2 linked regions of the Tribolium castaneum genome follow. The protein of the gene in region 1 binds, or shares a complex with, the protein of each later gene. Links are inferred from orthologs where the notes say so. Each region holds a gene or a part of one and is shown on either strand. Other genes may lie near its edges.

Evidence for each region.
Region 2: scat (region 1) and Vps51 share a complex: the UniProt entries of both Homo sapiens proteins name them as parts of the golgi-associated retrograde protein (GARP) complex. The link is inferred for Tribolium castaneum from reciprocal best matches to the Homo sapiens genes VPS54 and VPS51.

The regions. Positions count from the first base shown.
Region 1 is NC_087395.1:16,817,203-16,821,233, reverse strand, and holds the start of scat (vacuolar protein sorting-associated protein 54), read left to right. Parts: upstream 1-1,231; 5' UTR 1,232-1,386; coding exon 1,387-2,563; intron 2,564-4,031. UniProt on the Homo sapiens protein: Acts as a component of the GARP complex that is involved in retrograde transport from early and late endosomes to the trans-Golgi network (TGN).
Region 2 is NC_087395.1:17,182,699-17,187,255, reverse strand, and holds the start of Vps51 (vacuolar protein sorting-associated protein 51 homolog), read right to left. Parts: upstream 3,104-4,557; 5' UTR 2,999-3,103; coding exon 2,918-2,998; intron 2,872-2,917; coding exon 2,737-2,871; intron 2,693-2,736; coding exon 1,866-2,692; intron 1-1,865. Other genes in the region: Ttd14 (TRPL translocation defect protein 14), read left to right, coding at 3,598-3,655, 3,704-3,771, 3,830-3,867. UniProt on the Homo sapiens protein: Acts as a component of the GARP complex that is involved in retrograde transport from early and late endosomes to the trans-Golgi network (TGN).

The sequences.
Region 1 (4,031 bases):
GGAAATGGCAAAATTTACACTTTTATGAATTTTGTTTCAATTTCTGCCCTTTCAGAGCGTTTTGATAGGATATTTAGGGACGAAATCTCTACCTTTGTTATGTGTTATTGTCAGATAGAGACAAAATTTCAGAAAGTAGTGTTAGGGTTATTAGGCTCCCTTCTGAAGTGTCAAATTGTAACTTTAATGGATTTTGTGTGCTTTTCTGCACTTTTAGAGCGTTATTAATTATTGTTGAATATGTTTAAGGGCAGACAAATCTACCTTGAGTCAACGACATAAACTTCAGTGAGATTTATTGAAAAATGAACTTCTCCTGTCAACCTTTTCATGAAAAAGGGTGTTTAATCGTTTATAAAGGGCGTGTTAACGTCTGTTGTTAAGTTTACCATATAATAAAACATAAAGTACAACTTTTCTATAAAAGCATTTTGCAAAATTCTTATTTATTATTTTCACTGTTTTCCTCCTTTTATGTGTGCAAACGAGCCGGTGATGTGAAAATTAGTGGTATCGCCACAAATTGTGTTAATTTTAAGTCTCCAGAAAATTCGGTTTTAAAAGTAGGGTTATGTTATCAACAGGAAACGTTAAAAATTTCACTTTTATGCATTTTGTGCTCTTTTAGAGCGTTATTAATTATTATTAAATGTGTTTAAGGGCAGATAAATCTACCTTGAGTCAACGACATAAACTTTAGTGCGATTTATTGAAATGTATATAGGGCAAAAATGAACTTTTCGTGTTAAACATTTTCAAGAAAAGGATGTTTAATCGTTCATAAAGGGCGTATTCACGTGTGTTAAGTTTACCAGGTAATAAAACATAAACTACAACAACTTTTCTATAAAAGCATTTTGCAAAATTCTTATTCATTATTTTTACTATTTTCCTCATTTCCTGTAATAACTGATTCGCCCTTCGGGGACCATTCTGAATACTGTTTCCACCCTTTTTTCAAAAAGTATCCTTATATTTAATTGTTATGTATACACTCACAACTTCTTTTTTGCTTTACTTTGGGACACTGTTAAGAGCTACCACCAGAAACAGCTTCCAAAGCATTCGAAAAAAACAGTCGAAGGGCTTAATCTACGGCAGAAATAAAGAAAATTGCAAGATATAAAGTAGGTGAAAAAAAAAGTTTGCGCGCAGCGATTGTCTGGTCGACTGTAATGTTCATGGTGTCAGCACCATTTTTGGTGCTGTCTTTACCGACATGTAATCGCATTGGTAGACCTGTCATTTGACGTTTAAACCTGACAGTTGATTTTTTCATGACATGAGTTGTCAAAGTAGTGGTTTTATCACCTGATACAGATGTGTCTCAAATAATTGTGTCCCCCAAAATGAAGAAATACAAAACGGGGTAGTCCCCCGGGTCTTATGAGTGACATGACGCCAGCTGTTGAGCAGTGGTCCTTATACTCCGCTGCTCAAAACCTCCCGGCCGTCCTAAACGACCCCAATCGCGGCAAACAGTCGAATTTCTTCGTCAAGACATGGGGCGACACATTCGTCGAGAAGACCCAAATCGAGAAAAGCCCCTTCCTGCCCGAAATAACCTACTCGCACTTCGATGGCTACGTTCGCAAGATCGGCAAACGGTACAAGCGGCACATTCGGCTCTCCCAGAGCAAGCTCGAGGCGAATCATGTGAAAACTCGAACGAAGGCGGACCTCATCAACGGCGAGGTTAGCGTCGAATCAATCCCCGAGATTTTCCTGCGGCAGCATTTCCCTCTGAACGATCCCGCAGTGTTCGCGCAAGTTTTCCACGGAAACGACCGGGACCAGGACTACGTCCTGCAGGAGGAGTTGAGTCATTACTTGGACATCGTCGAGGTGCAAATTGCCAAGCAGGTGTCGCAAAAGTCGGGGGCTTTTTTCCACGCCATGACCTCGCACGACACCATCATGGAGCAGATGGGAGTTGCCCACACGGAGGTGCAAACCTTGCGCTCGAAAGTGCAAAAGGTGGACAAAACCCTCGCGAAGGACTCCCTCAAGCTCGTAGGCCTGGCCAGGGCCAAGGCCAACCACGGCAAGCTCGTCGACAAGCTCAAGTTAATGGCAACTGTTTTACAAACACAGCCCACTCTCCAGCTCCTCCTGAGCTCGTCGGATTACGTCGCAGCCCTCGAACTTATTTCGAGCACCCAGGAGGTGCTGTCGAAGGAGCTGGCTGGGGTTACTAGTCTGCGGCACTTGCCCTCGCAGCTTAAAGAAATGTCGAAGTTGATTGATAAGATGTTGAGTACGGAGTTTGAGAGATACGCTGCCGCCGATTTGCACCGGCCTTTGGAGGCGGAAGGTGGGGTTTTGGAGCAGGAGAGGTTGGTTAGTTTGGTCGCGGGGCTGTTGCGACAGAACAATTTGCAATTTTTGGAGACGTATAAGCAGGAGGCTGTCACTGCGGCTCAGACTTTACTCAAACAGTTGCTGATTGAACAGTTGGCGGATGTTGAGGATGATATGGAGATGACGGGGTCGGGGGAGGTGGCCCCCAGTATGGACGCCGCGCATTGGTTGAGGGTGCTGACGCTGGCAAGTGAAGCGCTGGGTGGGTAAAAGATTGATGTATTATTACAATTCGAGAGAAAAATACGTAACTACAAAATAATCTGTATCCAAAATTTAGTGTAGCGGAGTGACAGTGATTTCATAATTTTAATTAGTAGTTTTAATTAATTTAAGTAGTTCACTAACTGCTTGGGAAAAACACATCAAGACTTTTATTTTAATAAGCTGAGAAAAACTGACGTCTAAAATTTTCACGACAAAGATGATGAGGAAAAATAATTATGTTATATTTTATTTTTTTTAATGTTGTTCAATTGTACTTAAGTTGTGTATCATAATTTTGGACTGAGGGAGTGTTAAAAATCTATATTAACTTGCGTTTTGTCGTACATTTTTAAAAATGCTATGAATATGCTTAAAGATGCAAAAACAACGTGCAAAAGAAAGTTGTGGTGAATAAAATTTTCTACAAAAGGTACGACCACATTTTTTCTTTGACAGCTATTTAGGCCCCAAAGACGTTCAAAACCGCCTAAACGACGGATAAACCTTGACGGTTGCACATACTTTTTTTGAAGTAGCTAAATTTAGTTCTCGAGTACTTTGTCATTTTTACTGAACAATTACATATTTCAATAAATTTCGTTAAAAGTAATCTGGTAATTGCCGTATTTAGATGAAAATTTTGTTTCTTTTCTTTTTGTTAACGTTTAAGCTCTTGCTTGATTGTGTGATATTTGCTTTTATCGAGCGTCCAAAAGTTTATGCACGTTTTCAAACTTAATTTAATTTTTTTGCAGTAGATCCATAATTATTAATTAATCAAGCTAAAAATCCACTAAATTGGTTAAGGATCGAAAATTACTGAATTTAACTTTTTTGAGTTTTATTATCACGTTTCCACCCAGAAAGGCAATAATTTCACTAGATTTTCGTCACAGATAAGCCGAAAAATCGTCGAATTGGGTCGAAAATTCTGTTATTTTTGTTATTTTTTTCAGGTACTAATTTTTTCATGAAATTTTGCTTAAACTTTTCTTCAATAAAGCCTCGAATTGTGTCGAAACTTGTGTTATATTTGCTTTTATCGAGTGCTTAAACACGTTTTTGGTCACAAACTCAGTTTTTTCGTGAGGTTTTTTAAGTTATTACTAAATTGGGTCAAAAATATTAGATACTTGTACATACGTGAGCCAGAAACGCAATTATTTATGAAGATTTTGTCAAAAGTAAACCATAAAATTTCCAGAATACTTCAAAAATAGAGCAATTTTTTATTTTCTAAATAATCATGAAATTAAGTCTAAAATTAGCATTTCTAGCCCATGCTCATCCAGAAACTCAGTTATTTAGCAAAATTTCATCAAAAATTAACTGAAAAATCATCAAATTATTTTGAAAATATACAATTTTTTGCATTTGTCGAGCGTCTAAAATAGTCAGATCAACGCTCTGTTTTCTTAACATGTATTTTGAACCGAAAAATCATTAAATTGGGTCGAAAATAA
Region 2 (4,557 bases), about 370 kb from region 1:
TCTAAACAAATGAAACTGATTCAGCTTAAAAGAGGAAGGTATGAACCTTAGTGCTTTAATATTTTTTGGAGAGTTACAGCTGAGATGATAAAAACATGAAGAACTCTCTTTTAAGTTTAAAAGTTTAAAGTTTTAAAAGTTTAAATAACTTAAAATTCTTAAAGGAAACGCCGTATTACTTATTTTTGCTCGTAAAATACTTTCAAATTGTCTTTCTAATAAATAACATAAACATTTAATAAGTGTTTACAAAAAAGATATTAAAAAAATCAACTATTATTTCTTATTACAGTAATTTTTTAAGTTCTTAATTGCACTATGTGTACAAGTAGTACAGCTTTAAGTTTGAACTTTCTTTAAAAATGTGAAAACCTGATTTCTGTAGTACGAGCCCTAATAACTAAATGTTTGGACGAAATCTTGTTTTATTTTTATTTAGTTTTATTTTATTTTTATTCATTTTATTTATTTATTATCAAACTGGTTTTATTACAACAATACTATTTATAATTTGTATGGATTCAAACTTATGAAATTCACTAAATACTAAATACTAAAGTGTTTTCTGAACTTTGTTATTAGAAAATAAGTTATTAGAAAAAAAAATTAAACGATGAAATTTTCCCACTTCGCTTGGCAATGTAAGGAGCTAAAAAATTTAACATATGACTATCCAGTTTTGTATTATTATTTGACCTTCAATTTCATGGGATTCTAAAAAAAATTATTACGTTCCCGAAGGTATGTTTATTTAAAAAAAAAGGTGCTTCTTGTCACACCACAAAACTTTTGAATTAATAATTTGGTAATTCTTACATTAATGTTATGCCTTGACCAGCTATTAGCCCTGATTTCAATATCATTGTGTCTTTTTGGCACAAAATGATAAGTTATCCTAGAAATCTTTCTTAGTGGTAATTGAAAGATTTAAAAAACAAAACAGAACATATTTGGAACAATAAAACGCCTGAATTCTGTTACAGATTCGTTAAAAATATGCCTTTTTAAATTTAAACATTCAGTAGCTTGACATGCATTTCCTTTACAAAAATGTATTCTTTCAAACATTTAGGGTCGGTTTATAGAAACGTCATTAAGTTAATCTGCAATTAAATGCGTGATTAACTGATCACGTGACCAAATTGAACAAATTTAATTGGTCCATTCGCGTTGTTAACTTTTAGCGACGAATTAACTTTTAACAAAGCTTTTTATAAACCGGCCCTTAGTTGTTAGGGCTCGTATTTTTACTTTTTGTGTAGTACTTTTCACAAAAAAAAATTAGATTACATTTCAAAAACTAAGCGGAATCTACAGTAAAAGTCTATAGAAAAATACCAATATTGAAAGCTACGTTCAGTAAAATAAAAAATATTTCATAAAAAAAATGTTTATATTGTACCTAATTGATTTCTCAAGACCGCTGTAGATTTGAAAATAATTTTAGGTAATGAAGTGATGTATTATACTAACTTATAAATGAACTTCCATAAAATTAATTAAATAGAAGTCATTTAAAATCACTTTGTAGTATTGTTTTGATTGGTTAAAAATTAAAATGACTAAAAACGAGTTTGTACTGTATTCAAAAACATAAAAAAATAGTTATTAATAATACGAGTGCGAAAACACAAGCTTAAATTTCGTTATGCAACGAGTGTATGCGAGTGTATACCTAGACACCCGAGAACTTTCAGCGTTTTCGTATAAATGTTATTAATTTTTTTTTGTTAAGACATTTTTATTCAAAACACGTTGCTATGGCAAACGTGTTTTAAAATAGTGTTTATAATCTAGAATTCAGATATTAAAAAGAAGACTTAAAATTACCAACAAAAAAATAATTAAAACGATTATCCACTTACGCCGAAAAATCCACATCCCTGCACAGTGTGTTACTTTCAATCCTTTTATAAAACCGGTCCAAGGCTTGAACTAAAACAGCCGTATCTCCAACATCCTGCTCCAAATCGACTTTATTTTGCACCAAATCGAAATACTTCGCCATGTTTTGTTTAACAAAGTTGTTGAGTTCAGTTGCAGCAAAATTTTCGAAAATATCACTATTTTCGATATTATCCAAATTGTTGCGATTGATAAACATGTCGTCAAAGGAAGCCACAACCAGACACAAATCGCTCAAAAATCCCGAACAACCCAAATCAATAAATTCGGAAATGTCCCGTTGCTCGCTTTGGTCCTTCAGCATGACTAGTTGGTCACTGAGACGTTTTTCGGCACAAATCAAAAATTCAGAACACAACTCTTTGGCCGGCTCGTTCAGTTGCAGGAGCAAATCCACACTTTCGGTCAGTTCCTTGGCCGAGGCTTGAGGGTTACTGAAGTGCTTCCTCAGTTCTTTTTTGAGCTCAATAAGGATGGTTTCACAGTCGGTTTTGATGCCTTGCAAGGATGGCAAGTTACCGTACTGTTCCAAGACACGCTGGGCGTGCAAATAGTCCTGAACCGCCTCAATGTATCGCTTTTCCTCCATTCGAGTTTTCAAGCTTGTTGGCAGTTTGAATAAAAACTGGAGGCGCTGCAAAAGCGTGTGCACCCCCGACAATTTACTAATTTGGCTCCTTGTGTCCTGAAGAGTCGAGTTAATTTGGTCGGAAAACGACGTAATTGACGACATGTTTGAGGCGAGGAGGTCCATTTCGTTTTCCATTTTTTTGAAATCGACTTTCATCTACGGCACTAATTCACTTTTCGGAAAGAAAAACGCACCAATACCTTTTTTATGGTGTCTGTAGCCGAAATAAATTTGTTATAATTTTCGTAAACTAGGGTTTGCATGTCGGAATGCAAGGTTTGTGTGTCTTTGACGATTTCGCTCTCGTGGTCCATTATTTGCTTCAAGTTGGACTCCTGCAAGAGGGTGTCAGTTCAAGGGTGAAAAAGGGGCTATTGTTACTTTGAATAATTTATCCAAATACATGTTGGGGTTGAAGCTGGGACTGTTCAGGTCCAAGGGGCTGGGCTTTTTCTCCGCCATTTTTGGGTTTTTGAACACTTAATTGAAAAAGAACTCAAAAAACATTTTTTGTATTGTTGTCACCAAAACGTCAAAACAGATGATCAGGTGTGCTAGTGGCAGAGTGTGCACAAGCTCGAAACAGTTCATAAATCAGTAAAAATTCTCATTTACAATAAAATTCGATACAAAGTGATTGATTATTATTGTGTTGGCGTTATTGTGCTTAGGATGCGTCGTTTTTTTGCGTAAATGGGCGAGGGATTCGAAGTTTGCGCCACGGGAACCACGTGTATTGATTCCAGTGTGGCCACCCCTCTGCGGCGAAACTCCCTCCCCAAAATGTAATTTTATCAGCGACGATGTTTATTTAAGACTCAAATTCGCTCACATTTCTTTAGTCCCGCGTCTGTGCGGTGTCGCGTGTCAGCCTTTGTCGCTTTCGCGAAATAACAAATCATGAAATCAATATACAGTAAAATTTGATCATGTACCCGGTTTATTTCTTTTAGTGCTTACAAATTTTGATTTTCATTCTTCACCTTTCACAACAAAATCACCTTCTCGAATACTAGCAAAATTCAATTGGAAAAACTAAGTTTCGTCAAAACACCGGAAATATGGATAAAACGACCAGTGGCAACGATAAAACCTGTTACAGAGTTGTCCTAACAGGAGGTAAGTCGACCATGTGATCCTCCACGAGATTATTTTGGGTTTGTACAGGACCATGTGGCGGAAAAACGACCGGTCAAGCCAGGCTGAGCACGTTTTTCGAAAATATGGGATGGAAGGTAACGCCAATTTTCACTTTTTATTACCAAAACGCAACCCAATTTATTGCTCCCACAGGTCTTCAGGGTACCGGAGACCGCCTCAGTTCTACTAAGGTAGGTGTCATCAGCGTTTTCCAATGTTTTATTGAGTCATATTCCCATATTTAGCCCAGAAAATAATAAAATTGTGTTTTGGCACCCGGCCTTTTACCACAAAAAGACCGTTTATAGTTTTTATACGGAGTGGTCCGAAATAACTGTTTCTGTTGGCAACTCTGTTACCAACCAATTTTGAATTTGTAAATTAATGCAAAATGCACAAGAAATAGGGGCCTAGTGGAGTCTGAAAGTCTGGTCGTAATTCTTGAATACCCAACTGTGTTTTGGATCTCTGCCCTGATCAGGGAGCACGTGGTTTTTAAATTTATCACTTGAGCTAAAATTAATGGCCTAATGGGTGGCCAACAATATCTCTAATCGTTTCATTATTTTTTAAGTTAATGAATTTAATCACAGTTAATTAGGTATTAGAAATAAATAGTTATGGTCTTGCCAGTGACCTCACTTTTGTTCCAAAACAAATATTATGTTTTTTACCCAAAACATTGCAGTATCATCCAATATTGTAGATAAATTGTAGAAGGTTGGATTATGTAAAGCCATTTTGTGTTATCTCATCACTTATCACAAAGGATAGTGATTGGCATCAATTTAAAACATAAAACGTGATTTGTTTTAAATGTTGTAAATTGGCGGAAATGTATACTCGAACACGTGATGTGGTGTGTTTTGTTATCAGACAAT